6 separate regions of the Mus musculus genome follow, and regions 1, 2, 3, 5 and 6 are each reported to be linked to region 4. The links are microRNA targets in miRTarBase. Many come from high-throughput screens and were not tested one by one. Region 4 holds a microRNA gene; each other region holds the end of a gene's coding sequence. Distances are from middle to middle.

Region 1 (5,230 bases), not on the chromosome of region 4:
GGATGCTCTCTTCTCCCAGACACTGTCAGAGCAGAGTGTGCACTCGGGCTCGCACCAAACGTGCGCTGATGTAGGCTCTTTCCCTTAGAAGTTTCCTACCTGTGTCTTTTCAATATATGTGTATGTATTATGCATGTGAGTGTGTCCACATGTATGAGCACACATGTATGTATACATGGACATTCACATGTTTGAGCATGCATGTGGTTAATGCCATGTGTCTTCTTTGATCTCTCTCCACCTAAAATACGGAGAAATGATGTCTCAGTAACCCCGAGCTCACTGCTCTGAATACTTTGACAGCTGTGGGGATTCCCTGTCCCAACTCCCGTGTGGGGATTTCAGATGGGCGTCACATAGACCCAGCACTTACGTGAGTTCTAGGTGTCTGAATTCTGTCTCTCACACTTTGCCCATCGCTGTGCCTCGGCCTCTTGTATTTTTTTTTTTTATAGTCTTAATATTCTCTCCTGTTTTCTAGGCAATGAATGGCTACTTCAAGAACAGACCCCATCTGGAGACATAGAGAATATTTCCAATCAGCCGGCGATTTCCCTGCAGATTCCTACCCATTGCTTGTCACTGGAAGCTGTGGTGTCTGTCGTCGTGTTTCTTTATTACTGCAGTGCAGACAGCAGCGCATGTATGATGAAGGGAGTCGTGTTCAGGCAGCCTTTGCAGATAACCAGCACCCAGCCAGCTTGTGCAGCTCCTGTAGAGCTCGCATACGCATTCTAGAAGGCTGGCCAGCAGCCCTCAGCACAGGCCCTGTCCATCCTGCCATTCGTCGCTTAGGGAAAAAGCATTATAGTAACCCATTGCTCAGTTGTAACAACTGATACCAAAATAAAGCTGTGCTCCTTATTAGTATTTTAATTCTAAACAAATTTCTTCATTTTAGCTGTGTGCTAGCCAAGTCATTGACCATCATTTTACCACGGCACTGTAAGCTTTGCTGTTATTTGTTTTAAAAGCAACAGTCCATGCTATATCAGAGAGTATTATATTTGTAGTCAAAACTAATCATGCCAGATAGTTTAAATAACCTGCCTTTATCAGTAGTGGTTATCCATTCGTGTGTAAATTTCCAGTAACTTGAGATGGGCCTAAGCTGTGCGCCTTTGTGTCAGGATACCTGCTGTTTAGTGTCTAAGGTCTGCTTAAAGCCAGAACAGAAAGTATTCACTCGGCACAAACTCAGCGTGTATGAGTAGTTACTTACCTCCGGTGATTTTTCTCACTTGAGGTATTTTTAAAAGAGAGTTTTAATCTATTTTTATTATAAATTATTTGTTTTAACATTCTATTATTAATGCCTTATAACTTTATATAAAAAAGAAAAATATAGAATTTCTAAAGGCATGCAGACCTACCTTTAACTGTATTTAATGAGCATAATTCCTAGCAGGCAATGCCTGGCTCCCAGAGGCATGCTGACCTGGGTGTGGGTGGAGACTGCTGTGTTGCTGTGTGTGATGGGTTATTGTAGTGGCTAGGCTGGCTGTCATGAGCATCATGCTATTTTGGAAATTTAGATGTCAGTTTTAAGAGTTAAGTAACAGAATTGTTGGGTTTGAGATTTTTGTTACTGTTTTGGTTCCCATATTTAGAATTTAAATTATGATCATTAATTCTGATATTTTGAAAAATCACATGTAAACCTTCAATTTGCTATTTTCAGGGTATAGTTATACTAATACACTTTCATTTAAAATATTAGGGCTGAAACACACAGTGATTTACTGATACTGTTTTGGTATGTGTTTTCTTTAACCCCGTAAGAAACAGCACTGGAAGGGATCCTGGAGAGGTTTGGTTTTCATTGTTAACTTGAATTATCATAGATTATCATCATAACTGTTTAAGAGCCTTGCTCTTCTAAAACTGAGTGGACATGTGTTTTACTAAGACTACAAGGTTTCAGAAGCATTGTCTGAGCCCCACCTATAAATTTAATAAGCATTTAAGCATAGTCTACCTATTTATTAGTTAATTTTTGCAGTAGTTTTTGATAGGTAACATTTGCTTGTTTTATTGTTCAGTTAACTAAAAAAAAAAAAAAATCTGAAGTGAAAACTTGCTGACTTCCGTTATTAACTTAGAAATGCTGTTTCTCAGGAGCAAGGCGAACGTGAAAGGGAGGGGTCCTGTTTAGAGTTGCCCGTGGTTACCTCAGAAACCTTTGCACCTAGAACCAGCCAAGGCAGCGGCTCTGCAGCTCCAGCCTGGAGCTGGTGGTCTGTGGAGGGCCTCAGAGCGCCGCAGCCCTCGTTGATTTGTTGGATTCCTCGTTTATTTCCAGTTGGACGGGATGAGAATATTTTGGTTCAGTCATTTCCTGTTTGAGGACATAAACAGTTTCACTCTCTAAAACAGGGTATATACAGTTTAGCTTGTGTGGAAATTATTTTTCACTCTGAAAATACAAGCATGTATTCTGTAGTTTGATGTACCTTAAAAATCCCAAAATATTCTTTAACTCCCTTGATTTTCCCTTTGCCTGGGTAGGATCTTACTTGAGTCTTCAGTGACTGCGGGGATCTCGGTGGCTGCACACCCCACCCACCTGCCTCTCTGCACTGCTGGTCACAGCAGAATGTTAGTGGGGATGGACGGAGAAGGTGCTCAGTGAGCAGAGTGCGCTTTCCTAGGGTCAGGACTGACACAGTGTCTGCCAGGAGGAAACCTTGGTCACAGCACTTCTGGAGCTGCAGCGTCTCCTGTCCTCTCTGAGAGCCTTGTAGTTGTCCTGAGACAACTCTGTCTGCCTTGGGGCTCACACCACTGAGATAGGTTATGTGGGCCTCTGTTTTGCAGTGTGGGAAATCTAGGACTTAATGAACATGTGTAACCATGGTTTCTCCACATACGCGGAACTGACTGTCTTTCTCCATCCAGGGAAAAGTCTTCAGCTTCTGCCTTTGCCTCTGGCTTGGCAAAGATCAGAGTTGTTAACTCATTTGGAAGATGGTTCTTTGCCGTGCGCAGAGGCCCTGGGTTCAGTCCTCAGGAGGAAAATGAAATCACGAAAAGCTATGTTTTGTAGTGAACAGTAACATAAAGCCACGTGCAGGGGCCGTGTCACCTAAGCTCTAAATGAGCAAGCCCGTGCTGTCTCACTGAAATTCTACCTCTGAGAATACTCAATGGCCAGTACTTTAGAGAGTAATCTAATCTTCTCAAAGATACTAAAATAATCTGAATTGTAAGCACTAATAATTTTTCTAAAGCCACTTCTGTTACCAAAGATGGGGGTCTATTTAGAGTCCTTTCATTTACCAGTTTCCTTTAAAATTGTAGTTGGTGAGGACAGGGATAATTACGGTGTTTTATTGTTTAGCATGGTATAGTGGCAGGAGTATAGACTCTAGCAGTGTCTTGCCCTGCAGAGCTGGGCTGCTGGACCAAGCCTGGGCTTGCCGCCAGGCTTCAGTAAAATGCTCCCACGGCATTTAGCAGGGAGTAATTTATGAACTGCTACTTATCAGTTTAGTTCTAATAATGACAATAATTTATGGCCACAGACATGGGCTTGACTTTTTTTTTTTTTTACAACTCCAGTTTCTAAAGCAAAATCTTTCTCCACCATTTGACATGTTAGCAGTCCCAGTAGAATCTGGGCTCGAGAAGAAAAAGAACACTTTATGGTAGAATGTATTACCATTTCATAAACAATATTGTTTATAAAGAAGCACCTCTCTACTGTATTGAAGTATTTAAAAAGGCCTTCTGGAGCTTTAATGAATACGGCTTTTCCATAGAGGATCCAGACATAGCTGGAGACACACCACACTCTTAACAGCTTGTACAAGAATCTTCAGATTATAACCTGCGTGCCCTGGTGGGTGCTCTCACCCTGGGGCGGTGCCCTCTGCAGTCTTCAAAGTACTTGAGAATAACGTTACAGACTAGGTGTGAATGTTCCAGAGAAGGAAGCTGCTTCGGCATGTTGGGTACGAAGCTCCTGGGGTAGCGTCCAGTGCCTAGAACAGGACCTAGTATGTGGGTGCTGGCTGACAGCAGCAGAGCTTAACCGAGGCTCCCTACAGTGTGGAAAGTGGGGACCTACCCCCCGGCCTTCAGACGAGGGCAGAAGGAGGCTTACCTTCATTGAGTTCTCGCTCCCTGCTGGGAGTTTCCCTTCTGTGTGCTGACCACACGCAATCCTCACAACAGCCTTAGGATAGAGTCCCTCCTCCTTGAACAGTCACATCAGCACTAAGAGTGTACACAGAGGAAGTGGACAGCTGTCTGCCCCACTGCCTACTCTGTCGTCTCCCAAACTTGCAAGGTCACATATTTCATTCCTTCATGTAGTAACTTATCAGTCCAGAGGATTCCAGGAGCCCTGGGAATGCGTGTTTGTAAAATTCATTTAAATTCATTAAAGTCATTCAACTTACATGACTTCTCATAGATTCTTATCATCTGGGCCTTGGAATGGTCTATATAATCATTGGTTCCCAGAGGATTTTCTGTGCCCTTAATTTCAGTGACTATCCACAGTTTTTTCTTGGCAGGAGTATGTGTAGACATCCCAGTTAGCTCAACAGGACTGTCCCAGCAGCCAGTCCACCATAACGAGCATGGCTGGTGCAGGCCTGGAGACGTCTACCCATATCGGACACAGTGTGTTTTGTGAACCAAGTGAGGTGTAGAGGAATAAAGTCCTCTGCCTTCCTGCAGCCTTAATGGTCTGCTGTGCAGGCTCCCTGGTGACTCAGGAGTTGTTCCTGAAATCAGCGTGGCAGTGTGAGACAAGATGTCCTGCGTGTGCCAGTGGTGGTTTTTAGGGGCATCCCAGTGCAGCGTCTGTCCATTGTGAAGTAGTGTGGTCGTGAAGCAGTACTATGGTTCAGTGAGCAGCGCACTACATGGGTCAGAAATGACAGTGTGACAGAGTCACATACCTTGAGGCAGACCTGCGTGATAATCACCAAGATTGCTTTTTCCACCCGTGTTTCAAAGCCGACATGAAGAATGAGCCCTCGCCTGAGTCACTGTTTTAACCTGGCTTAATAGAATTTCCTTTTTCCAGTTTCTTTGCGTTAGGGTAATAGACAGAATGGTCGTTAAAGTTAGAGGCTTGGTAATCAAGCGAGGTGGCATTCTGTGGCTAATCAGCCTTGTCTCCTGCCTGTGCCGGCTTGTGTAGGCTGGCGCCTTGGCTCTCGGGTGGCCGCTATGAGCACACAGGCTGGCCCAGAATAGGACACAGCCCTGCCTGCAG
Region 2 (5,230 bases), not on the chromosome of region 4:
CACACGCATGCATGCGTGCATGCATAGATACAAGTTATCAAATTTCAGACCAGGAAGAAGACGCTGTCAGAACAGGACACAAGAGGAATGAATAATTGTTTTCTGGGACAGTTTGTCTACATTTCATAATTTATCAGTTTGCTTATTTCTGATGCAGATATAGAGAATGGGTAGACAAGGTATCAGCTACACGGTACCAAGGAAAACTGCAGCTTTATCTTGGGAGCTGTCTCTTGGACAGAGTGCACCTTTATGGTTAAACATCCTTGACGTGGCAGGTACATTCTTTCATTGCCACACATGCAGATGAAGGGTCTGCTTCCTCAGAAGATCCGTCCTCACTGTCCTCACTGTGACATCATGTACCTTGTGGTTTTTATTTCACCTTGTGGAATTTTCAAGAAAATGTGGGGAAAAAATTCCTTGAAAAGTGAGATTTGGATGACTGTGGTTTGAGAAGTAAAAGAGGGACATTTTACCATTATGAATAAGTTATCCATCTCATGAATATTTAAAAGCATACTAAAAACAACAACACATTGAACATTGAGTGGAGAGAGTGGGTACCCTTTCTTATACCATAGGACCCTGGGAAATATAGCAAAGCCTTGAGAGAGAGAGAGAGAGAGAGAGAGAGAGAGAGAGAGAGAGAGAAAGATAGATGGGGGGGGGGAACCCTTGGGACACATTCAATGACTGTGCCTTTTTAACAGCAGTGTTCCATGAACGGCTTCCCTCTCAGCATAGTCATGCGCCCACAGTCTTTCAACAGGTTTCCTGAAGAGCAAGAAAAGGATCTACACCATTAGCTCCTTCAAAGCCCTACTTGTAAGATTCAGCCTTCAGCTCAAAACATTTAAACAGAACTCATTTACTTCTTTCTAGGAGGCTTCCTACAGATACAGTAATTGCTTTATGTCATTTGAAGTAACTTTCTGCTGACCAAGCATCGAAAATGTCAGTGATTCCAGCTACTGTTTGTTTTAATAAAATGTAGTGGTATGATCTTTCTTCCTTTCAGCCCCTCCACTGTGCCTCCCATGATCCTTTTCAAAATCATGGCAGCTCTTTCTTTATAAATAGACAGGTAGGTAGATGATAGACAGACAGACAGACAGATGGGTGTGCCTGAACATATAAATACTACCTATTCTATCTCTTTATTGTTACTGGTACAGAAATGATTTCAGAGCTGATGAGTACGTATTAAATAATAATTAGGGGAGTCTTCCTAGGGAAAACTGTTTGTCTGGTTCTTAGCACCCCTTAGTCGCCTATAGTTCTTCATCTAGGGAATTGAACTCCATGAGAGTTCCCTCTTCTAATTGGCTTGTCTATTGCTGTTGTACTTGCTCAGGTCTTGTTAAGGGAGCCATGTTGCTGAGCTATCATGGGTGAAACTTGCCTGCCATTTCCAGGAGACATAATCTCACAGCAGTCGGGCTCTGCTTTGTAAAGTACAACATCTGCAGAACTTGCCATCCAGCCTTTAAAAACCTCAAAAGGAGGATGGGCTTTGAGGGCAGGTGTGACGTCAGAAAGTATGTAAGCCAGAATCTTTCAGTGAAAAGCACTGGGCATGTTTCCTGTGAGCAAAAGAAAATATTATCTTTCAGTGATACATTTTCCTTTATAAATACAGAGCTGTTGTGATAAGATTGGAATCAGCAGTCAATGAAATTCTAGGTGGAATTCTGTTTAGACTGAGTAAGAGCCTTGAGAACTCAGAAAGGAAAGAGAATTACAGAACCCACTGGCTTTTATGAGGAACAACTTGTTCTGGTACATTTCGTTTGTTTTAATGAGTTCTGTTTATGGCAATGCACTGAATGCATATTACATAAATTGAAACTTGATATTAGTTAAATATGTAATATTATTAGATAAAATTCCAGACAAGGTGAAACAAGCCCTAACATTAATCCAATGCAAAGAACTTTTTTCCAAGGGGCTCCAGGGACTTCCCAGGGTACAACAGAGCCCTTTATCAGCAGGAACACATGCAGTGTTCTGTGGAAAGTTTATATCCTGGCATTCTCCATGCTATCTTAAGATGCTGAGTTTTCCACGGCATTCATTTGGGCACTATCCCTGTTTCTTCTAGCAATTTAGAATAATAAATCGTCACTCCATACCCTTGACACATGTGACTTCTCTCATCCATTCACTTGACCCAGACATTTGATAAAGGCTTGTTCTACATCTACTATTCACCTGTTTTGGTTTTTTTTTTTTTTTTGATTTTGTAGAACATTCTTTTCTACCTTTGTGAAGGTCTCTAATTTGCATAACCTCCACAGGCTAAATCATGTTAAATATGATTGTTTAAAAAATAATATAAGCCGGGTGTGGTGGTGAATGCCTTTAATCCCAGCACTTGGGAGGCAAAAGCAGGCAGATTTCTGAGTTTAAGGCCAGCCTGGTCTACAAAGTGAGTTCCAGGACAGCCAGAGCTACACAGAGAAACCCTGTCTCAATAAAATAAAATAAAATAAAATAAAATAAAATAAGGATTTTAGTTTAACATAATATTTGGCATTTACCATGTGTCAGTCACTAACTATATTTTAGTCTATGATTTCATTTAATTTTCACTTTGAGAAAGCCTATTTATAGTTAGGTTCATGACTGTAGTCTCAAACCTTGGGAAGCTGAGACAGCAGTGTTCTGAGAACAACCTAGGGTTCACAGTGAGAACCAGTCCAAAAGAAAGACACCAACACAACTCAGGAGTGTTTAGCTGGTTTTAAAGGGAACGGTTGTTAACTTTCATCACCGTTGGTTGAGGTTTGAGTGGGAAGCGGCCCCGCAGGCTCAAATGTTTGCAAGCCTGGTTCCAAGCTGGAAGAACCGCTTGGGAATCAGGTGGAGCCTGTAAAAGGTAGCGTCTTGCTGGATACTGTGGGTTGATAGGAACCAGCTTTGAGGCTGCATCAGATGACCAGGCTGCTGTTCACACTCTGCTTCCTGGACAGCAGACTGTGACAGCCAGCATCTTCCTCCTGCCACCATGCCTTTCCTGCCTGCTGCCTTGTCTTCCTGACCAATGAACTATGTCCTTCTGGCACTAGCCAAAATAAACCCTTTCTCCTATTAACTACATTTGTCAGGGTATTTTATCATAACAACAGGAAAGGTAACTAACGAAGTCCCTAAGAACACTTGACTTGACCACTTTTCCTGGTTAACATAGCTTGGGTTAAAGGTGAAAAGTTGGTAAATGTGTATGTGTACTAATCTGTACTAGTTTTCTCTGTTGCTGTGATAAAGCACTGGCCAAAATCAACTAGAAGAAGAAAGGGATTTATTCTAAGTAACAGGTTAAAGCACCTCATTGGGGAGCTAAGGCAGGAACTGAAACAGACTCGTCTCTAAATCCAGTGCTAAGGAGGCAGGGCAAGAGGTACACTGAGCCGAAGCTGGCTTGGGTAGAGTGAGAGCCTCTCTCCAAAATAAACAAAAAACAACAAGGAAAATACAGATTAGGGTTTTTTCTTTTGTTACCCCTGTGTTTTGGGGGTTTTTTGTTTGTTTTTGTTTTCTTTATGCTACTAAAAGAGAAAAACTATTGAGAGAATTTTTAATTTCCATCAGTAACTTTTATTATAAGAATACATTCAGTAGAAAATCGATGAGATAAACAGAAGAATGAGAAAGATATTCTTACTACATGAAGCTATACAAGCTAGAAATTTTATTTTTAATAAAAACAGTTTAGTTATGTGAAATACTTTCTTTACTGTCTTTCTTTCCTCCTTCCTTCTTTCCTTATTTCCTTCCTTCCTTCCTCTCTCCCTCTCCCTTTCTTTCTTTCTTTCTTTCTTTCTTTCTTTCTTTCTTTCTTTCTCTCTTTCTTTCTTCTTGTAAATGTGCATGGGTGCCTACATGTATGTCTCTACTCCAGATGCATGCAGTGCTGGTAGAATCCAGTAGAGGATATTGGATCCTCTGTGACTAGAATTACAGATAGTTATGAACTTCTAAGTGGGGCCTGTGAATTGAACTTCAGTCCCCTGGAAGGACATCTGGTGCCCTTAACAGCACAGTCATCTACCCAGCCATTTCCTTTGATATTTTAAAAACTAGGAATTTCCTGGGTACTTTTCTATATACCATTTCAGTTTATAGCATTGCCATCATTACTATTTTAGCTTACACTTAACCTTTATCTGGAACACAGTATGGCTACAAAGGCTATTCTTCCTCAACTTTCTTCATGTATGTGGTCATCAGACACATCAGGGATGCAAATATTAAACAGTAACTGCAGATAGCAAGTCAACTTCTGAAACCAAACGAACTTCACTTTAAAGTGTATCAATGGCACGTAAAACACCAGCCCACTGAGAAGGAAGAGGAACACATAGATATAATGCAACTTTGGAGACTTGACAAGCGGGATCAAAACCAAGCTCAGGGTGATGCCCAACGCTATGAATGTGAACGGTAAAAACACCTGAAAAGACAAAATTGGAGAAAGTAGTTAGATGTGAAAATCCATAGGTGGTGGCTGAATATTCCCATAAGTAAAAGTAATGGGAAGCTGATGATAGAGAGCAGACTACGTCAGCTTTTGAGTTAGATCAATGGTCTTAGGACTCATGATGTCACAGTGAAAGAAAATTCTGGAGATTTCTCAGAGAAGGTGCTGATTGAGGGGGCATCAGAAGCTTGGACTCTGCATGAGTAGAGATGGTCCTCAGCATATGCTGATTAGTATGAACACCTGCAGGCCTCAGTGGAATGACCTTATTCAAAAGGAGTGTCTAGGCCCACTGGGGTGGGGGTGGGGGTCCGGGTAATCTTCCATAGGCAATATTTCAAATCACTGATCAAGTTAAGAGAAAAACTACTTTGGTAATCAAGTTAATATCAACAGTTAAATATTCGGATTATAGTTTCACATACTAAAAAAGGAATATATTAAGGCAGAAAATTCCTTGTCTGAAATTATTTTTTGTTTTGACAAAATATTAAAGATTAATTCTTGGTACCAGGATTGTGCTAGAAATATAAACATCCCACACTTAATATTACAACATTACTCTTGATTTTTTTTTCCCTCGAGGGTTTCACAAAGTAGCCCAGGTCATCTTTGAAATCATAATTTTCAAGCCTCAGCCTTCCAATGTCTCTAAATTAACTTGAATTATAGCCATAAACCACCTAGCTCTAGACAACCAATTTTGAGATATAAACATGAAGACATGAACTATACTCTAATGGTATG
Region 3 (5,230 bases), 31 Mb from region 4:
TGCAGAAATAGGGGTAATCGATGTCCGACTCAGACACACGGTTAGGAGCTCCATCTTGCTGCCATTCAGGAGTCCCAGTGCAGCCACCCAGGTTGGACCTCCAAAGACTCCAAACTAAACCCTCTTAGGTCTCTAGATGAGTTCTGTGGAGTTTGAGAACTTGGGGTACCCCTCTGTGTTTGTGTCATGGGTGGGAAGTCACACCGGCATCACTGTCACAGCCCGGGTATCTGAGAATGGGAAAACACTGTTGTGGGGTCTGGGCCTCTGACATCCCCTGAGCCTTGACAACGTTTCTTGTTCCCCAGGTTTCATCGACCTTAACAGTGGGATTACTCTTGAGTGCTCTGCTGTCTTCAAAACATAAATTTCTAAGAACCATAAGTGCTGGCGTCTGTCCACTTCCCCGTTACCATGTAAATCCGAACTGCCTTTTTTTAAAAAAGAGAGAAAGAAAGAGAGAAAGAAAGAAAGAAAGAAAGAAAGAAAGAAAGAAAGAAAGAAAGAAAGAAAGGAAAAAGGAAGAAGAAAGGAAAGGAAACACAGCCAGGATTCTGTGTGCAGGAACACCATGGTGAGCACTCCTCAGCATTGCTGGCACCACTTCTGCTACAGAAAGGTGACCCGGCCCCCCGAGACAGGGACCTACCTGAGGATTGTCCAGAAACCGCCTTGTCCCCTCCATCCAGACCCAGCAAGCACCACATTGGTTCAGTCTTCGGTGAACCCCTTCCTCACAAGGGACTGTTGCCTGAGTCCAAAGAAGCCCAGGGCTTGACATGGGAATGGCTAGGGTGACAGTCATAATCCAACTGTCCTTCTAGACGTGGTCAGACACATGGGCTCCAGATGGGGCATCTGCTTTGGGGGCCCTTGGGAAGGGGGTGACGACCTCTCAGTCTCCTCCACACATACACAGGCACACCCACGCACGAACATGTGCACACACAAACACACATGCTTTCTCTTCAGATTTGTCCTGGAGGAGCCTGTGTTGGCACTTCAGTCATACCCATGTGTGCTGTGGGCATAGGAGGCTAAACCTGAGCGTCCACTTTGACCCCCATCCCAAACTGAACTGCCTTCCAGAAGACTCTGGTAGGGATAGTAGACATCTGCTCAGTTCACATTCATTGACCAGTTTGTGTTCACAAAGCCCAGGGCAATGGGTGATCTAATGCTTTAATGCCCTTGCCAAGGTTCCCTGTGATATTCATGAGTGTGAACTGACCAGGGAGCCATCAACCCCATGGGCCACAGTTTTCTTTGACCCTGTAGCACACCTGGGCCAGTGGTGATGTGGCTTGGTAGTTGATAGCTTCTGAGTACCAGTGTATGGAGGCCAGTGCAGGGGACCAATATCCCACTGTCATTCCAGAGCCTTCCACTCTTCTGTCTTTGCAACTGAAGAGTTTCTGCAGAGAGATGCACATCTCAGCAGGGCTAGCACTGGGTCAAACTTTGCTAGCCATGACTACCTGTAGTGTCCCTTACTGCCCCACTTACCCAGAGAGACCCTGCTCTCTCTCTCTCTCTCTCTCTCTCTCTCTCAGAATATGCCTCCAGGCACCCTGTTGACAGGGCCCCCTAAAGGTTGAGTGTGTACTGAGGGAAGGGCACCCTAGATCCTAAGGCGGTCTTCTACAGGGCTGTTTTTCTCCCTAACCAAGCTCACAGACCCTTGGGTGCAAGGTTTCTGCCGCAACCCCCGTGGTGTGCCCAGCTTTCGGAGTCACTACGGTGTCACTAAGTAACACACCTGGCATTTAGAAAGATGCCAGCTGGCTAGCCTGACCAACCACAAAGGAGTTATCCCCTTGTCAAACTGGTTGGGACCATGGTACTTTTAGGATACAGCCGAAACAAGGCCATTCAATTCTCCGGAGCGTTAATGGCTCCGTGACCAGTTGCTAACCCAGGAACCAGAGTTACAGGAAAGCTTAGATTAGCCCTACAGGTAGCGCCATGCAGCTGCTGCTATCCTGGTACCGTCTGGATGGGGCACACCTCTGTCCAGACCAAAGACAACACCATGACTGGGTCTTTCTGTCATCGCTGTCATCATCATCATCATTATTTGAATGTCAAGAGAGGTATTCAGGGGAAATGTGGTGGGGATTTTAACATGGCTGTAAATATGGTCTTCCCAAAAGGCTTACTGACTTTTGAATGTGTACATGGTAGGAGGAAAGATGCAGAAATCTTTCCTTGACCTTCCCTAGGGTGAAGGATAGGCACATGTTCTAGGTGGAGGTCCCTGCCCTGCAGGCCTGAGGTCTGAACTTCCTCTAATTAGCAGCTGTGCTGCAGGCTGCTGAGGTGGCCTGGCCTGACAGGCCTTCCCCAACCAGGAAGAGTCCTAAAGAACTCCTCCCACAAAAGCCCATGGCTTCCCCACCGGCCTTGGTTCTAGGGCCCTTCTGATTGCCTGGGAACAGAAATCCCAAACTCACCTCCGTCTCTGCTGCCAGCCAGCAGCCTTCCTTGTTCCCTGCCAGCTTGCCCTGAGATGGCCCACCTCTTTACATATGGAAGAAACTGGACAGGATGCCCACATGGCTTCCTTCGGGGTACCCTTTTGCAGAAGTCACTTGCTCAGAGTTAGGGGTGTGCCTCTCATGCTCCTAAAAGGTTACCACCTTTGGGGCTGGGCTATCTCAAGGCCACGATAAGTGGTTCTTAGCCAGGCTCAGCAGCCTCCCCAGCTGTAGGATGGGACTTCTGCTCTCCTGAAAACCTGGGCTCAGGCTTCAGGGAGCTGTAACTACACACTTCCCCCACTTTGTGAGGACAACTGAAGTGACTTGAGTAGTTTCCAAAGTTGACAATTTGACATTAATTAGGGGGAAATAGAAGGCAAGGGAGTTGGCTTGAGACATCCCTTTCTGGAAAAGCTGCAGTTTTCAAGTGAGTTCATCTTGAGCCTAGACAGTCCCATCTGAGTACCATGGAGTTCGGGTTAGCAAGAAAGGAGAAAACTAAATGTGTCAGATCTTACGTTTTTTTTTTTTCTCTCAAAATCAGGCACTGCTGGACCCCCACCCCCATCCCTGTCCGCTTCCCCGACAGAAGAGCCTGCCATAAATAAACTGGCTCTTCCAAAATCCTGATCACTTCATTCCCCAGACCCCTTCAAGGCCCTGCCAGGTTTTTAGAACGGGAGCCTTTCTGCCCGTAGAGAAACCAAACGACTCCAGGGTCAGTGTGAGGAGATACTCCTAGTTTCTTTTTCTCCTGCTTATGAACATGTATGCGTACTTTTGGAATGAGCATCGTGATGTGTCACTCCGATGAATGGGATCCCAGGTTCTCCCTGCGCACGGCCAGTGGGCAGGTGTCACCTTTGGTGACTTCTTCCTCCCATGAGTCTCTAAGTAGGTTGCTTTCTCCAATTGCTTCCTGGTGTCTGTACATAGTTCGTCTTTGTATAGGAGTGATTGTGGTGACCGTCGCTCCCGCGCCCTCCCGGGTTCTAACTTAACAGATGACGGCCGTATGAAGAAGATACTGTACATAGACTATAAATGAAACTGGATCTCTGTGGCCTAGGTTTTGTATATACAGAAACTGCATGGTATTTAAATTATTGTTTCTCTCTGATGATGTATGCAGTTTCTTTAAAAACAAACCAAAAAAAAAAAGTTTAAAAAAAAAAAAAACAGCTTTGACTCCTGTGTTGTTTTCTCGCCTGGCAGCAGGGACCACCAAATATAGTTGGGCTGGGGAAGGATTGTCAAAGAGGGAGGGAGGGTGGTCACCAGATTCTGGGGAGACCAGAAAGCTCATGTTTCTGACGGTACTCAGGGTGGGGATGGGGGGTGGCAGCATTGCCGCACATAGATGAACTTTCTAGAACATTTATATCTTCAGCCATTTTTGACATTTCAAAACTCTCCCAACCCTCTGTCCCTGACAGTCTGGGGAGAGTGAATATAAATTAGCCTTTAGGTAAGTCACTGAGGGGTCTTGGCAGTACAGATATTAGATAGCTTTATAGCATTGGGGGGTGGTCTTTGGGGTACCTCTATATCCGAACAAAAGCTGTATATTTCTTTGCCTTTTGAAAACTGTGGACCCTCTATATCTGAAGATTCAACCACTTTTGGATAAAAAATATGGGGGAGATCCCATCTGTACTGAATGCATACTTCTCTTATCATACGGTATGGTGCCTACTGACCCCACAAATAGATTGCATCAAGCATAAGAGAGGATAGGATGTCTGTGATGTTTTGAATGTGCTTGGCCCAGGGGGTGGCACTATGAGGAGGTGTGGCCTTGTTGGAGTAGGTGTGTCACTGTGGTCATGGACTTAAAACACTCACCCTAGCTGCCTGGAAGCCAATCTTCTCCTAGCAGCCTTCAGATGAAGATGTAAAACTCTCAGCTCCTCCTGCACCATGCCTGTCTAGATGCTGCCATGCCCCCACCTTGATGATAATGGACTGAACCTCTGAACTAGTAAGCCAGACCCAATTAAACGTTGTCCTTAATAAGACTTGCTTTGGTCGTGGTGTCTGTTCATAGCAGTAAAACCCTAACTTAGACAATGTCCAAAAATCACAGGTAAATAATGTAACCATTTTATACTAGGGACTTGAACATCCCCAGATTTGAGTTGGGAATGACCCTGGACTTCCACAGACAGACAGACAACTGTATATATGCACCTGGTTCTTGAGGACTTGGTATTTGCCCAAAAGAGCAAGCATTATCTCACATGACCTGTTTTCATCAGAAGGTGCTAGGGAAACAGAGAACTGCTGCTTACATGTGCGAAGCTGATGGATGGGTCTCCTGTTCTCGACCCAGTGATGTGAGAAGGCGGCTCTAGGGGGAAAGCGCAGCAAGGGGCTGCCTGCATTGAGCTTTGTCGAGGAATCACCTGTAAGTCTTCTTGACTCACAGGCACTCAGTAAGTCTAGATGCAGCTGGAGTCCTGTGTTGGGCAATCTCCGAGGACCTGTGCTACAGCTGGGCTAGGAACCACACTTACGGCACAGGCTTCAGAAAACAGGCCGCTTGCCATGTCCGGGACCCCTGAGTGGGTACAAGAATGGCATGCTTGGCCTCCAGTCTCCGAGTCTCCCCAGGAAGGCAGGGAATCACGCAGCAGTAGTGGCTACAGGCATGCAGCACAGTGAGTGGTTTTTTTTTTTTTTGGGGGGGGGGGGGAATCTTCCCTTCTACTCAAGTGTCTACGTACAGACACTGTGTGGTATTTAAATTA
Region 4 (5,230 bases):
ATGGACAATTATATAGCAGAGTATCCTTAATAATGTCATGGAATGGCGCTTGCCCTTGGGATAGGTCTCTAATTGGGTGAGTTTTTCTTGGCCATCCACTCCATCTCTACTCCAGCTTTGCCCCTGCATTTCTTTTAGACAGGACAAATTTTATTCTTTGTGTCTACTGTGTCGTGGTTGAAACTGATCCTTCTGCTTTCTTCTCCTGCTCCCATACATTCAGCATGTGGACTCTGTCCCCAAAACACATAAGATACTGTAGTAGCATTCGTTATTCAATGTTAACCTATTTTTGAAGCCTGGTGGTTTATATTTTTAATTTTATTCTTTTTGTTTTTGCTTTTCAAGACAAAATTTCTCTGTGAAGCCTGTCCTGTCCTGATAGTACTTGTAGAAACCACATAAGCCACCTTATATGTGTTTGTACAATAAGCATATGCTTTTGTGCAGTTCTTCATCCACATCTTTAATTTTGAAATTTGTCCAAATTTATAGGTTATATTCTATTTCTCACGATGGCATAGGTTCGTGACATCAATACTACCCGAGCCTTTAGAGTCATTGGATTGCAGGTGTATGACGTTCTGCCTACCTCTTGTGTTTGTTCTGAAATTTTTGAATAAATAGGAGTATTTTGCCTGTGTGTATGGATATGAATATCATGTGTGACTCATCTTTACTGTTGTCAGAACATGGCTTCATAACTCCTGATCTTGAAGTAATGGGTAGTTTTTGGTCCCATGTATATGCTAGAAATTGACCACCATTATGTGGAAGACCAGCAAGAGCTTTCCACTGCTGAGCTATCTCTCCTGTCCTATGTTGCTTATTTATGATCAACATTTATATTACTAGTATTTTCATCTGTCCATTTGTAACTGTTTAAACATGCATTCCCTGTTAGTAAAATTTTATTAATGTTGCAGTTTAAACTGGTGTACTTCATATTTCTGCAAGATAAATACAGAACTGCAGTGAATGTATTATTCTTTGTAGGAACTTCAGTAAAAAACTGTGAGGTTTTGTTTGTTTGTTTGTATGTTTCCATGGTTGATATTTTCAGGGAAGTGAGAATCTTAATATGTAACTTTTGCTGTCCTGGAACATGTTGCATAGACCATGCTAGCATCCAGCTCCATGACATACACCTGCCTGTGTCTCTGGGATTAATGACATGAGCAAAAACACCCAGTTTGTCTATCACTTACGTAGTTAGTAGTTGTTCATACAATTTCTCAGATGTGTGATCAGTACTACTGATCTGTTTGCCCCTGCATCTCTCTCTCTTACTTGGCATTTCTCTTGCAAGGCTATATCCTATTCAAAGGGTTCAGAAGCAACACAGGTGAACCTTATCATTCAAATTCCTTCTAAAATGACATGGTGATTAGATTACAGCTTCTGTGTCGGGAAATAAGTGGAGGAAGCACCAGAATTATATCAATATATTGTCAGGGAAGCATCCATTTACTTTTCAGTGATGTCAGTATCATGCTTTGTATTGTACACATGTATGGGATATTTTAGGATGCAGTGACTTGTGATGATGTGCGTGTGAACTTCACTGAGGAAGAGTGCGATTTGCTGGATCCTTCCCAGAAGTCTCTACAAAGATGTGATGCTGGAGACCTACTGGAAGCTCACTACTATAAGTAAGACTGTGAATTCTCTTTTCCTTTCCTAAATAAGGAAATAAATGTTTCTTGGTTATTAATGATATTTTGTTATTTCAGTAGAGAACAAGGAAAATTGAGATGAAAAATGAGGTTCAATACTGGGAAAATTCACAGTAGCTTGAATTTTGCCTAATTTCCAAAACCATGTCACTCATTTTCTGGTATTGTGTTTTAGGCTACAATTGGGAAGACCATCATATTGAAGAACATTGTCAAAGTTCTAGAAGACATGGAAGGTAATTCTCATGTGCAAGCTGATACAAATATGCCTCTGAGGAAATTTTAATATATTCTGGAAGCTCTAAAGATAAGCAAGAATGTAACGTATCAGTCCTTTTAAGTGTGGCTATGATTAGAATATTCTCACAGATCCATGTACCTCAATGTCATTTACCTGATTTGTGTTTACAAGGCGTTCCTCTAGGAAAGAGGGCAAGGTAACAATCAATACCTTAAGAGATAACTTTAGGAGCAGCGCCTTGGAGGTCCCGTGGATCTGTGTCTTGCTTCAACAGTGTTTGAACGGAACAGACCCGGGGATTCCCACTGTACTCGCTTCCAGCCGCCTTTACAAGTCTCTCCAGTCGCAGCCTCCGGGACCATCTCCTCGCTGCCTTCGGCTCCTAGGACCAGTCTGCACCGTCTCTTCGCGGTTAGCTCCTACTCCGGATCAGCCATGACCTCTCAGATTCGTCAGAATTATTCCACCGAGGTGGAAGCTGCCGTGAACCGCCTGGTCAACTTGCACCTGCGGGCCTCCTACACCTACCTCTCTCTGGGCTTCTTTTTTGATCGGGATGACGTGGCTCTGGAGGGCGTAGGCCACTTCTTCCGCGAATTGGCCGAGGAGAAGCGCGAGGGCGCGGAGCGTCTCCTCGAGTTTCAGAACGATCGCGGGGGCCGTGCACTCTTCCAGGATGTGCAGAAGCCATCTCAAGATGAATGGGGTAAAACCCAGGAGGCCATGGAAGCTGCCTTGGCCATGGAGAAGAACCTGAATCAGGCCCTCTTGGATCTGCATGCCCTGGGTTCTGCCCGCGCGGACCCTCATCTCTGTGACTTCCTGGAAAGCCACTATCTGGATAAGGAGGTGAAACTCATCAAGAAGATGGGCAACCATCTGACCAACCTCCGCAGGGTGGCAGGGCCACAACCAGCGCAGACTGGCGCGCCCCAGGGATCTCTGGGCGAGTATCTCTTTGAGCGCCTCACTCTCAAGCACGACTAGGAGGCCTCTGTGCCTTCCAAGGGGCTCCCCCCTCTGCTCTGCACCAGCCCGCCCTGGGACCTCCACCTGAATGAACCTCTCAAGCCACTAGGCAGCTTTGTAACCGCCCTGGAGCCTCTGTCAAGTCTTGGACCAAGTAAAAATAAAGCTTTTTGAGACAGCAAAAAAAACAAAAAAACAAAAAAAAAAAAAAAAAAAAAAAAAGAGATAACTTTATTTATTTGTAGCTCCATTAGAGCTATGCTGTGGAACTACCAATCTGTATAGTCTCATGATATTTAGAAGTTGCACATTGAATAGTGATAAGTATATATCCAAAACCTTTTAATAAACAAATAGTCCATGGTAAAGTTGGTAATACTCATATTCTTGCAGACTCATTGCTAAATTTATTGAGAGGTCAGTTTATGAGAGTCAAGATTGTTGTTGTGGAAAAACCTTAATCCACATATCTAAAAGGAACAAAAATTCAAATTTTGTGAATGCAATGTGGAAACCTTTCATTTGTTATTCTTCTTCTAATGGGTATATCAAGTGTCACAATGGGTAAAAGCCTTGTGAGCATAGGGATGTTGAAAGAAGCAAAGAACATCTTTCTGTTTCAGAACAATTAGAAGTTATATAGTTTTCTGCCTTTGGTAGACTATCTGAATATGATAGAAGTTTGCAAATTAATTGGTTTTCTGACTTTAGTGAAAACATACCAAAGTCATACTGCAGAAAATCCCTATGGCTAATGGAAATTTGGAAATTCTTCTGTTTGTCCTGGTTCACAGTGCAAATGTGGTGTGATTCACACTACAGGAAAAATTATGAGTAAAATCAATGTTTTAAAGCTCTCAGTTGTTTCATTTTTCTTCAGATATATGAAATACATCATATAGAAATCTCATATAGAAAAAGGATGTTATAAATGTGAGTCATGTAATAATACTCTTACCATCACAGCATTTTCTTTCATTTTTTCTTTGTTAGATATTTTCTTTACTTACATTTCAAATGTTATCCCCTTTTCTAGTTCCCCCCCAAAAAATTCCCTATCACCTCCTCCCTCCCCCTACTCCCCAACCCACCCACTCCCATTCCTGGTCCTGGCATTCTGCTATACTGGGCATAGAACCTTCACAGGACCTAGAGTCTCTCCTCCCATTAATGACCGACTAGGCCATCCTATGCTACATATGCAGCTAGAGCCACAAGTTCCGCCATGTGTTTTCTTTGATTGGTGGTTTAGTTCCAAGGAGCTCTGGGGGTACTGGTTCATATTGGGGCTTCAGACCCCTTCAGCTCCTTGTGTACTTTCTCTAGCTCTTTCATTGGGGACCTTGTGCTCTGTCCAGTAGATGATTGTGAGCACCCACTTCTGTATTTGCCAGGCACTGGCAGAACCCCTCAGGAGACAGCTATATCAGGCTCCTGTCAGCAGGCTGTTTTTGGCATCTGCCTAGTGACTGGGTTTGGTGGTTGTTTATGGAGTGGATCCCCAAGTAGGGCAGTCTCTGGATGGTTGTTCCTTCAGGCTCTGTTCTGAACTTTGTCTCTGTAACTCCTTCCATGGGTATTTTGTTCCCCGTCCTAAGAAGGATTCTGAGCTTCTGGGCTAATATCCACTCACCAGTGGGTACATATCATGTGTGTTCTTTTGTGATTGGGTTTCCTCACTCAAGATGATATCCTCCAGATCCATTCATTTGTCTAAGAATTTCATAAATTCATTGTTTTTAATAGCTGAGTAGTACTCCATTGTGTAAATGTACCACATTTTTTGTATCCATACCTCTGTTGAGGGACATCTGGTTTCTTTCCAGCTTCTGGCTATTATAAATAAGGCTGCTATGAACATAGTGGAGCATGTGTCCTTATTACATGTTGGAACATCTTCTGGGTACAGTATTTTCAAAGAGGCAAACAACCCATAATGAGTGAGAACACTGTGAATATACAAAATGATAAAAACTTAAGATATGATTCTTCTTTATTATTAGACCAAACTGTAAAAGTAATTCATATTGATGGAATGATTGATCAGAGTAATTAATACAGTAAGGCTTTCACGTGTGCCAATTATCGTTGCAGGCATGTAAGAAGTCATAGTGGAGGGAAACCCTATGAATGTAATCAGTGTGGTTAAGCCTTTGCAAGACCCAGTTGTCTCCAATATCATAAAAGAACCCATACTGAAGAGAAACATGAATGTAATCAATGTGGTAAAGCTTTTGCAAGACCCGGTAAACTCCAAAGACATAAAAGAACACATACTGGAGAGAAACCTTATGAATGTAATCAATGTGGTAAAGCTTTTGCAAGTTCCAGTCATCTCCAATAT
Region 5 (5,230 bases), not on the chromosome of region 4:
TAACCACTGAGCTCTCTCTCTCTCTCTCTCTCTCTCTCTCTCTCTCTCTCTCTCTCTCTCTCTCTCTCTCTCTCTCCAGGCCTAGAGAAAAGTAAAGAAAAGATGGGGACTGGTGAAGGGAAAGTTCCAGAAAAGGGCAAAACCATAATGCTGGTGTGTTGAAGGTTGGATTTCTGAACAGTGTAGACAGGCAGAAGTGTGGGGAGCCCTTGATCCCCCAACCCGGAGCATATGTTCCAAACATGCACCTATGTCGGAATTTGAAGGCTGAGAGGGATGGGTTTCAGAGAAAGACTGCAAAATAGAGCAGGACCAGAGGTCAAGGTGGACATTAACTTCTCCTACTAGCCTGTGAGCAGCCCTCTTTTCTCTTGCCTGGTCCTTCTCCCATTAAGTTTGATGTGAAAACCTGGTGTATCTGTATTCCAGAGGCTGGCTTGGCAACCATTATCCGAGCACCCCTCCCCCCACTCTCCCATGATTATATTGTGTTATACCTGAGGATTCCCTTGTCTTTCTTCTCTGGGGATTATCCTGATCTTTTTTTGAGGTCAGAGCTTTCATTATGCATCCAGGTTTGGCTGTGGGCTTGGGTAATGGAAATGTTAGCTAGAGATGTGTGAAGAAGGGAACAAAACAAAGGAGGGGTCAGAGCCTGAGAGGTCACTGGTGCAGCTGAGGCTGCAAACGGTTCCCAATGCAGCCCAGGAAAAACACACTTCTGAACCCACTGGTGTTTTGTCATTTATTGAAGACAATTCCAGCTTAGTATGTGTGACTGACTGATTGAAGGACATTGACAATGACTCCCCTCCCCCCTCTTTACAGTCACTTTAGTGGCTTTTCCAGAGGAACCTGCAGGGCAGTGGGAGATGGTCTCATTTGGGGGTACCCTTTAGTGAACCTGTCTTCCCCTTAGAGTATAAGACCTAGATTATGAGGTGGCCTGGGGTTCCTCTCATTTGTACCTGCAGGTTGTAGGAAAACAGAGCATAGTCCTTCTCAGACAGAAGTCCTTCCTGCAGACCTAAGGAGCTTGGTTACAGAGTGAAAGTTCTGGCTTGGGCCAGCAGAGTCTCTGAGGCTGCCTGGGACTGTCAGAATGAAGTCTCAGGCATGGACAGCTGTCCTCACGAAGGCTGAGCACAGATAGGCTTCTAGGGAGGGAGAGGAGAGTAAGCTCCAAATGGATCCTTTCCTACTTTGATTTGCATTTGGAGCATCTCTCCTGAACCTAGTCTCTGCTTGCTTCATCCAGACCACAGATTCATTCTGGAATGTTCTTTCTTCAGGTTAAGTTCTGGGTCTCTGTATTGGACTTGTGGGATCCCTCTGCACCACCATCGTCTCAGAGTAGTCGCAAGGATGCTTCTGAGGAGCCATGCATGAAACTGGCTCTGTTTTTATTCTCCCTGGCAGCCCTCTTGAGAAAGGAAATGTAGCAATGAGGGTGTAATTTAGAAGTGGGCAGGGGTGAAGGCAGCCTTGGAATGCCTGGTAGAGAAGAATGAATGAACATGGCAGGTACTTTTAAACAGAATACAGTTCAATACGACATTGATTCCATTAGGCGTTGGGTTAGATTAAATTCTCCAAAACAGAAGAGCGACAGAAGCCCGTAATACAGTCCGGTGGGATGGTGCTGTGGATGTTGCTCTTGTCTTCTGAGATGACTGAAATCACTACCCAGAATGCTTTGTTGCAGAGACACGGCATCCAACCCGGCTGCACTCACAGGTTATCCCCACCCCAGTTTTCATGAGGCAATGGTCTTTGGCAAAATTTTCCAAGATGTTGGGTGTGACTCTGCTCACTTCCTGACTATCACTTTTGTGGGGAGTTTGGTGCAAGGCCGGGGGAGTTAACCAGTATTTGGGATATTTTCTCAAAGGCTCTTTGATTTTGTTTGCTAAGTACTTACCTTGAGGGGCAGGGGTTGGGGAACAGGTACTGATGTGGCTATGAAAGATGTCTAGAACTTGAAGATTTCCTGGCATCGTGATTATCCCCAAACTCCCTTCTGTTGAGACATACTTGAAAGTGAGATCTGCAAAGGTCTTCCCACAGCTGTGCCCAGACAATGAGCTCTCAGGACAATGAGGTGCATGGGGTGCGGATTCCAAGTGAGCTGGCTGTGAGCTCATCTGTGTGTTCCCTTTCATGAAGGCACAGAAGATTGAGAGGCTCCACCCCAGGGCTGTCCTTCCATGTCAGGAGAAAGGAGTGGTCTGAAAGCCCTGTCATGGAGGCATTAGACATTCGTGGAAGCACTAGGCAGTATTTCAACAACCCCAGGGTTGGTCCTGAGCTGCCTGTATTCAGGGAATGGGTGGACTGCAGGGCCTGGGCTCGATGATGTGAGTCTTAATGAGGAACATGATATTCTTAAGTGAGCTTTGAAAGGCCACAGGCTTCCCAAACTCTGACTTTTTAGTTAGGGAGTCAGTCTCTTTCTCTTTCTTTCTTTCTTTCTCTTTCTTTCTCTCTCTCTCTCTCTCTCTCTCTCTCTCTCTCTCTCTCTCTGTGTGTGTGTGTGTGTGTGTGTGTTGATTCCACAAAACAAATACTTCCTCCGAGGAATGTCCCACAATGCAACAGGAACAAAGGTGGTGGATTCTAACTGCCTATAGAAGTACTGTGAATGGTTGAGATATCTGGAGACCTGTTGGAGGTTGTTTGCCATAGTGTTCCCAAATGCCCAAAGGTTAAGGATGAAGAGTCAACCTGAACCAATGCAGCTCTTGTCATTCACTTTGCTACTAGGTACCTTCCTCTGCTCTCTGGCCTGGCCTTGCCTGGAACAGCTTTGGAAATTTCTTATAGGTGCCCGGTCTTTTGCCTAAAGGTGTCTTGGTGACTATAATGAAGTTTTGAGGGTACTTACCTCTTGGGTTATATCTACTTGTTAGGCCCTCTGGAGATGCCCCTCCCAGTCCCTATTGACCCCAGAAGCCTGCAGTGTACCAAGGAGTAGCTGGATGTAAGGTACCTGGGGAAGCAGGGGGGAAGTAGGCAAGAGAGGATGGAATAGCATCCGGGAGCTATGCGGAATCCTAACCCCACCCTGTCTCTTTCCCCTTAGCTTCTCCACATGCAAGGCAGTTGCTGACTACCTTGCACATCTTGCTCATTCCAAACACTTCCTTCCCCTTCATATTCAGAAGGGGTGAACATGGTCTCCAGAAATCTATCTTCCTGTACATTTGTTAGATCCATGTGTTCCCATGGCCACCCTAAGAACTCAGTATGGAGTATTGCCAGTTGGCTTGGCCATGTTTTTCCCTCTTTCACTTTTGGAAATAAGATGACATCAGAGACTGGGTCTGGCTGTTCCCAACCTAGGCCTAGAGAAGGAAACTCAATAAATACTTGCTTGTTTGGTAGGGAGGAACAGGGAGGAGGGAGGCTGAGATTTCCTTTTTTCCAGTGAACCTATCTCTAAAACCCCATGCAGCGTGAGTCGGACATGGCATTCAATTTCAGGTTAGGTCTTGATTGACAGGAGAAGGAGATGATCTTACAGGTCACATCTGTGGCCTCCCGTCCTTCTGTTCTGGAGCTGTGTAGACGCAGAGATGTGGTGGGGAAGGAAGTTAGAACAAAGAGCATTTGTTCTTGGCTAATTGCTAATATAAAGGCATTCTGCAAGAAGCGCATTGGAGGATCAAGGGGAAGTGTTGATACCTCTTAGCCTGCATATTGCCTCTTGTGCCAATATCATATATTTAGGAGCTAACTTCCTTCACTGTATAAGTTCCAGACTACTCCCAGAGGAATGGTTTACTCTAGACAGTGTTTCCCTCACCCCCAGCCCCATCACTGTCCAGATTTTGGAATGTGTGATACATGAGACATATCCTTTCTCTTGTAATGTTAGTCAATGTCCCATCCAAGGAGGGAGCCAAGGCTGTCAAACCCAATGGGACTGAAGTCAGCCTTATCTGCTTGGTCACTTTTGGTTCCAGAAGGATGTAGATGGGAATCTAAGATCAGGCACACAACCGTAACATACAAGTTCTCCTTGGGAATGTAGTCAACCCCCAAAGAATTTCCTAGCATGCACACATTGCCCTTGGCAGAGAGAATGGGATGGCTGATGGCTGAATGCAGGTGCCAGGGATGAGGGTAATGAAAGTATCCAAGGGCACAGCATCCACAGCTATGGAAACCAGGTGAGACTCAGTCAGCAATGCTGCTAGGTTGTATGAGGGTGAAGCCCTGAGCTCTATCCTGTCCACAGGGCCAAGAGGAGGGTTTGCCTGGATCAACTTTGTGGTACCCGAAGAGAAGGTAGGAGGCTGCTTATTGGTTAGCAGATCTTCTGGACAACCAGTCATCAGCGGTTCAGGAGGAAGAACTTGAGGCTTTGGAAGAAGTTGGACTTCTGCCTTTGCTTCTGCTTCTTTTTGATTATGGGGACCCACACCAGCCCACACACCAGCATCATGAGTCCCAGGGACAGGAAGGCAGGCCCTATCATCCTGAGCACTTGCACAACTTTATGCTTCTCTTCCAAGATGTAGGCCACACAGGTGATGGCCACGCCAAAGAGCAGAATGGCAGCTCCCACTGACATGATGATGATGGGCTTGTGGTAGATTTCCCAGTTGCTTTTGGGTGTGGTGGTCCAGACAGACTCACTTCTGGAACTGATGCACAGGGAGCTGGCTGTCTGGCTGGGCAGCAGGTCCTTGGACTCTGGAGACCTCTCGTCTACCTCCAGGGCCTTGGGGAGCACCTCCATTGTTGTGGCTGCTCAAGAATGGGCACCTAGTATTGGCGACAATTAGGAAGGATGGTGAAGCCAAAGAAATCCTTTCAGATCCTTCCTGAACCCTATGTCCTTCTCCAGCCTGGCTCTCAGTAGAGGGGAATACAGTACATACATGTGGAAATTAATGGTAAACCCAGGTAAACTCTGCATAAATAAAAATCACCACCACAGGAAGGCAACCCAGTCAGGGAAGATGGCTCAGTGGGTAAAGAGCTTGCCATGCAAGTGTGGGAGCTTGCATTTGGATCCCCAGCACCTACTTAAAAAGTAGGCATGGTAGTATATTGGGGTAGAAGCTGGAGTAGAGACAAGAGAGTCCTGGGAGCTTCCAGGCCAGTCAACTGAGTCAAGTTAGCAAGCTCCAGGTTCAACAAGAGAGCCTCTCTCAAAAGATAAGGTGGAGAGCAATTGAATTTGACACCTATTGTTACCCTCTAGCTTCTAACATACATTCAC
Region 6 (5,230 bases), not on the chromosome of region 4:
TTTTTTTTCCCCTAAATCCATGCTTGCTGTTAGAACTGTCATCATCCCCCTATACATTCCTCCCAAATAATGGTGACACTGATGTTCCAACACTCATTTTACTTAAACAGCTAGAACCAGATCTGGAGCAGTGTGAAGGGGCAGGTGGATAGGAAAGGCTGACTGGGAAAAGGAAGTGGGCATGGGGAGGGGAAGACAGGATATGGGTTGGGTTGAGGGTCCTGGAATCCAGAAGAAGCCAGGGAAGGCAGTTTGAAATCAGTGGTAGATCTGAAATTCTGCCAACAGTATACAGATGTTAAAGATGGCCACATATCTGTCAGCATATGACTGGAAGCATTCACTTGCCAGGCTGGGTCAGTGTGGAAAGCCAAGGTCCCTATGGGAGGGGATACCAGGCTGTCTGAGGCCTGCATTAGTGGGTTTTGAGCCCCGGGTTCCTGAGAGCCGACAGGATGAGGAGGAGCTGGGCTGCATAGTAGGTGCTCATGGTCACTAGGCGGGCAAAAGGTAAAGAGTAGACAAAAGTGTCCCAGGCCAGCACACCATCTGAGAATGTAAAGAGCACAGCACCCCAGCTAGCACTTCCACCCCAGACAAGGCTGCGCCACAGCATGGAGTTCAAGATCAGCCCATAGGCCATCACGGGCAAGACCATGCCCTGCTCAAGGTGTAGCAGGAGGAAGCTGTAGTATGTCAGAGAGGCCAAGGTGGTGCACAGCAGCAATCCGGGCTGCAGTGGGGTCAGGCCAAAAGCCCCGAGGTAGAATAAGTGGGCAACAGAGAAGGCTGCCGTGCCTGAAGAAGAGAGGGATGAGAACTCAGTGAGGTAGGGTGGGCACCAATTGGCCTCCTGCTTCTCCCTGTTGTCTTGGCCACAACCAGACATGAACAGTGCCCCCAAAGCACCAGCTCCATCGTGATCTGCTGATTATAGCACTCCTTCTTGATGGGTCTCCAAATTCTTCTTATCCTTGGGTGTTCAATCAGTTCCCAAAGCAATGGTGATAACCTTAAGATGCATGGCATCATGTGCTTGCTCTGCTCAAGTACCTGTCTTTCCAAATCGTGTTCTGGGAAGCCCCATACCCTTGTTTTCCCCATCCTACTCTAGCCAAACTGGCCCATTTGGACAAAGTAACTCATACACTATTACCCCAGGTCCTTTCCACATGCACTTTCCATGCCCAGGATGGCCACACTTCCCATCTACACAGCTACATATCCTTATTCCTGTAATCCTAGCCCTTGAGAAAACTAAGGCAGGAGGATCCAACATTTGAGGCCATTCAGACCAGCCCTCATATATAGACATCTCAAAAATGACTCCTTACCTCCCCCACCCACCTCAGTCATGCTACACCTTAATTTTCTCCACACCACCCCTTCCAACCAGGTAATCCCACATCTTCCAACCAGTCTGACTCCAAGCCCCTGGCTGAACTGTGAGCTATGCTGTCACCCATCACTGCCTTCTGGCACCTCTGGATAACCCAGAGGACCTAGGGAGGGAGGGCTCCATATAATGAAAAGCTGTGTCCCAGTACTGACTCAACTCCACAAGAACCCTAGGTGTGTTGTCATAGAAGCCCCTGCTCACCATAAAAGAAAGCTTCAGGCCAGATGAGGCAGGCATCTCCCACAGCAGAACATACAAGAGCTCCCTGCAGGAGCCAGGTGCTGCTCCCACCAGGGGCCACAGCCCACAGGAACACAACCAGGCAGAGAATGGGCTGGCACTTGATCAGGGCACTGACCCAAGATGGCTGGTCCACAGGAATCCAGAGGAGGAAGTAAAGGGAGCAGGCAAGGATGAAGGGGGCCAGCCACCTGCGGACCTGTGGGTACTTCAAGAGAGCGAAGCTTCTCAGCCTCCCTCCCATTCGCAGCCAGTCCTGGGGGAGGGGTCACTGCAAGGCACTGTAGGAAATGTCTAATTCCAGTACTTAGCAGGTGGAAACGGGAGGCTGTTGATTTCAAAACCTGTCTAGGATACCCAGTGAGAACCTATTTTAACGGCCATCCCCCACACCACCCTCATGCCAGGACCCAAGCATGTCCAGGTTGGACTTTCGGGACTAGGATCTTTAGCCACCTTGAGAACCTTTTCATTCCTATCTCCTGCAAGGACAAAACCACGATACCTTAGAACCCAGCCTCCTGGAAGGACAGGGCATCCCCACCAACTCACCAAGCATAGAGAATCACAGGCCCCAGTACTGCCCATGTTCCCAGACCTGCCCATCCCCACCTTACAGGTTCTCACTTGGTCTGAAAAGAGTGTCTCCAGGGGCAGCCCCTCTTTTCTAGCATCCATGCTGAGTTGCTTCTCTTTAGGAGCCAGTGGCTTCAGAGGGCAGAGGGAAGTCTTGTGGTTACACATTAACCCAAGTGTCCTGTGGACTCTGGGGCTGATAACAGGGCTCACGCAAGGCCTGCTCTTGTCTGGCACTTGCTGATAAGGTACCCATCAGGCACCAAGGGCCACCCCCCAGCACTTAGAAACCTGGCCACCACCTCCAAAAGTGAGCCCCCTCCCCCAAAGTGGAACTCCCATTGTCTCACACCCAGCCAATTATAAGGAACAATGCAAAGTTCCACAGAGGGGTAGCCCTACAACCAACCCTGGAAAACAGGGGTCCTGCCACAAACACTGGTTAAATAAATCCTGCATTGTGCCTGAAGTCATTCAAACATTCCCTGGAAGGAAGGACGACCACACCACTGTACACTCATGTTCTGCAGCCTTCCCATGAACAAGATAGGGACCTACTGGATGCCAAGAAACTACTAGGTTCCTCAACCATCCCCCTTAGGGATGCTTCATTGTATGTCCATTCTCAAGGGAGCTTCCTGTCTCCTAATCTCTCCCACACCTTTGGTTTTTTGTTTTTGGTTTTTTAGATTTATTTATTTATTATATGTAAGTACACTGTCGCTGTCCTCAGACACTCCAGAAGAGGGAGTCAGATCTCGTTACGAATGGTTGTGAGCCACCATGTGGTTGCTGGGATTTGAACTCCTGACCTTTGGAAGAGCAGTCGGGTGCTCTTACCCACTGAGCCATCTCACCAGCCCCCACACCTTTGTTTTTGAGACAGGGTTTCTCTGCCCAGCCCTGGCTGTCCTGGAACTCAGTTTGTAGACATGGCTGGGCTTGAACTCACACAGATCCACCTGCCTCTGCCTCTGCCACCACCACATGCCTGGTGCCTCCTATCCCCGTAATGGCAGGACGCTCAGCTCCAAAGTCCAGGGACCTCTTGCTCCTTTTAGCAGGCCTGTTAGAGGATAGAGCTGAGTCAGCACAGCCCTAACTGATCTGCATTTTGGAACAGGGCCACGGAGGTACACATATCAGGATGAGAGCGCCCCAGAGTGCTAACTCCTGATGTTCTGCCTGATGTCTAAGTATTCCCCATCCCCTACACCCACACACACTCTCACAAGTGTGGTCCTAAGAGAATGTAGCTCTCTAGGCTATGAAGAGCAAGTTCACCCAACTCTGAGTCCCAGAACTCACAGTCCCACAGCAGGAATGTTCTGCTATCTTCCTTTATTTATATCTGCAGTATGAAACACAAGCTCTGCACACATACTTGCACACTCACACCAGCCTTGGGGGGGGCAGGGGGAGCTGGGACAAGGCCACTTGGCAGCAGTGCTGGAACCCTCAGGGCATGGGGTACCCAGCAACCCCCATTCTGGGCCTCTAGGGATGTTCCCCAGGGCCAGGGGCCGGATGACACCCTCTGTTACACCCCAAGGTGGTCCTGAGTGAAGCTGGGTAAGAGCATCTGCACCAGAGCACAGGCCAGCGGCCTCCAACCCCAGCGCCAGCCCCTACTGGGACAGACGGGGAAGGTGTGCTTCAGAGCTGCTGGCCCAGTTATTGTCCTGGCTTTCTTTCTTACTCCTCCCTCAACATATATATGTATATGTATATATATATATATATATATATATATATATATATATATATATATATATATATATATATATATAATATATAATATACTTCTCTCTCTCTCTCGCTCTCTCTCTCTCTTTCCTTTCTATGTGACTCTCTATCTTTATTCTTGGAGACAAAACTCCATAGTTTCTCTTCTCAGTGCAAATGGGGGTGGGTGAGGGCATCTCCCTGGCACCAGCCTCCTTGGGAGTCCAGAGGAGAGAATGTAGGGTGTGGGACAATAGAGTAGAGGGCCACCAAAGGACTCATCCTGCCCCACAGAGGGATTCCACAGGGAGGACAGAGGATTTGGCCACCACTGTCACCAGGCAGCTACCTGGAAACAGAGAGAAACACATGTGTCACATGGACCATGGACATGGGTCCAGTGACCTCATCTTGCTGACCCACCCAAGGCTATTGCCACACTCACTGGGAACCCGATGAAATAGGCCCTCCTGGGGTAGAGCCATTGGGCATCTCAAGGGCACTGTTAGGGGAGAAAAGGAAACATGGAGGTTACTTCTTGCCCTATTAGCCCTGCTTCATCCACCCAACACCACCCAGAGAGACTAACTCACCTCTGGCTTTGGGGAAGCCCCAAATGTTCTGGGCTCCTTTTCCCCTCCATGGTCTGAGGAGACTGGTGGGCCTTGAAGTCTGGGACAGAGGTAGAGGGGTCTCTGGTTGCACTGTAAGAGAGATCAATTTGAATACTGTTAGATATTCCATATCACTGCCTGCCTGAGGCCACGGCTGGGTAACAAAGAAATCTCAGAACAAAAAAGCCTATGAGCATACTGATGGCAGAGCATAGTGGGGCTGCAGAGCCACAGGGGGAAACCAGAACTTATACCCAGCTCCTCTCAGTGGTCATCCCCCTGCAGGATACGCTTCTGGGGCTATGCACAGTCCTGCTTCTCGTGGTCCCTGATCCTCTTGGAAGCTGTTCTTAACTCTGGGATCACAAGAGCCCTTTTAGGTGCCATTGTCCAAAACATTTAATTACAAAAAGGAATGGATACAAGGACACAGGAGCTCAAGGTAGAGCTTAGTGCTAAGGACAGTAGGGACAAGAGCCCAGCACCCACCTCGGCAAGGAGGCTGGGCTTCCCCTACCCCCCTCCAGGAGATGGGACATCAATGGTCACCTGTCCAAGGAGCTGGGGGCAGAGCGCATCCCATGCAGTGTGGCCTGGACATCCGCAACACTAACCAAGGCCTGGCAGGGGGCTGTGGAGAAAGAGATGGACCACATCTCAGCTGCCACCTTCCAGC

Evidence for each region. Region 4 holds the annotated microRNA mmu-miR-692 (AUCUCUUUGAGCGCCUCACUC, at 2,870-2,890, shown strand). A microRNA usually pairs through its seed, bases 2 to 8, with sites in the 3' UTR of a target mRNA and lowers its output. Matches are read on the target gene's strand: a 7mer-m8 pairs with bases 2 to 8, a 7mer-A1 pairs with bases 2 to 7 and ends in A, and an 8mer does both.
Region 1: miRTarBase lists Nhlrc2 as a target of mmu-miR-692. Seed matches in the 3' UTR shown: 7mer-m8 at 1,256-1,262.
Region 2: miRTarBase lists Slc7a13 as a target of mmu-miR-692. Seed matches in the 3' UTR shown: 7mer-m8 at 3,847-3,853.
Region 3: the mRNA of Phactr1 is a reported target of mmu-miR-692. Seed matches in the 3' UTR shown: 7mer-m8 at 443-449 and 7mer-m8 at 455-461.
Region 5: miRTarBase lists Pirt as a target of mmu-miR-692. Seed matches in the 3' UTR shown: 7mer-A1 at 3,861-3,867, 7mer-m8 at 3,068-3,074, 8mer at 2,470-2,477, 8mer at 2,452-2,459 and 7mer-m8 at 2,447-2,453.
Region 6: miRTarBase lists Ppp6r1 as a target of mmu-miR-692. Seed matches in the 3' UTR shown: 7mer-A1 at 4,101-4,107 and 7mer-m8 at 4,044-4,050.

What each region holds. Positions count from the first base shown.
Region 1 is chr19:56,596,775-56,602,004 of GRCm38, forward strand. It overlaps Nhlrc2 (NHL repeat containing 2), which reads left to right. Exons shown (of 11, transcript NM_025811.3): 11 at 482-2,072. The coding sequence ends at 738. Among named protein-coding and RNA genes, the nearest start is that of Nhlrc2, 51 kb to the left of the region's middle.
Region 2 is chr4:19,840,566-19,845,795 of GRCm38, reverse strand. Slc7a13 (solute carrier family 7, (cationic amino acid transporter, y+ system) member 13) reads right to left here. Exons shown (of 4, transcript NM_028746.3): 4 at 3,583-4,456. The coding sequence ends at 4,205. Among named protein-coding and RNA genes, the nearest start is that of Slc7a13, 24 kb to the right of the region's middle.
Region 3 is chr13:43,134,866-43,140,095 of GRCm38, forward strand. It overlaps Phactr1 (phosphatase and actin regulator 1), which reads left to right. Exons shown (of 14, transcript NM_001302635.1): 14 at 309-3,661. The coding sequence ends at 324. Among named protein-coding and RNA genes, the nearest start is that of Gm15813, 15 kb to the left of the region's middle.
Region 4 is chr13:74,404,252-74,409,481 of GRCm38, forward strand. Mir692-3 (microRNA 692-3) reads left to right here and starts at 2,814; the gene lies at 2,814-2,922. Gm41004 (a long non-coding RNA gene) reads right to left here. Exons shown (of 4, transcript XR_873675.2): 4 at 4,735-4,835. It also overlaps the pseudogene Ftl1-ps1.
Region 5 is chr11:66,925,379-66,930,608 of GRCm38, reverse strand. It overlaps Pirt (phosphoinositide-interacting regulator of transient receptor potential channels), which reads right to left. Exons shown (of 2, transcript NM_178656.3): 2 at 1,909-4,770. The coding sequence starts at 4,744. The coding sequence ends at 4,337. All of the region lies in intron 3 of Gm12298 (predicted gene 12298), which reads left to right. Among named protein-coding and RNA genes, the nearest start is that of Pirt, 16 kb to the right of the region's middle.
Region 6 is chr7:4,627,956-4,633,185 of GRCm38, forward strand. Ppp6r1 (protein phosphatase 6, regulatory subunit 1) reads right to left here. Exons shown (of 24, transcript NM_172894.2): 21 at 5,104-5,185; 22 at 4,534-4,644; 23 at 4,386-4,442; 24 at 3,540-4,289. The coding sequence ends at 4,286. Tmem86b (transmembrane protein 86B) reads right to left here and starts at 2,527. Exons shown (of 3, transcript NM_023440.3): 1 at 2,267-2,527; 2 at 1,601-1,847; 3 at 85-798. The coding sequence starts at 2,317. The coding sequence ends at 416.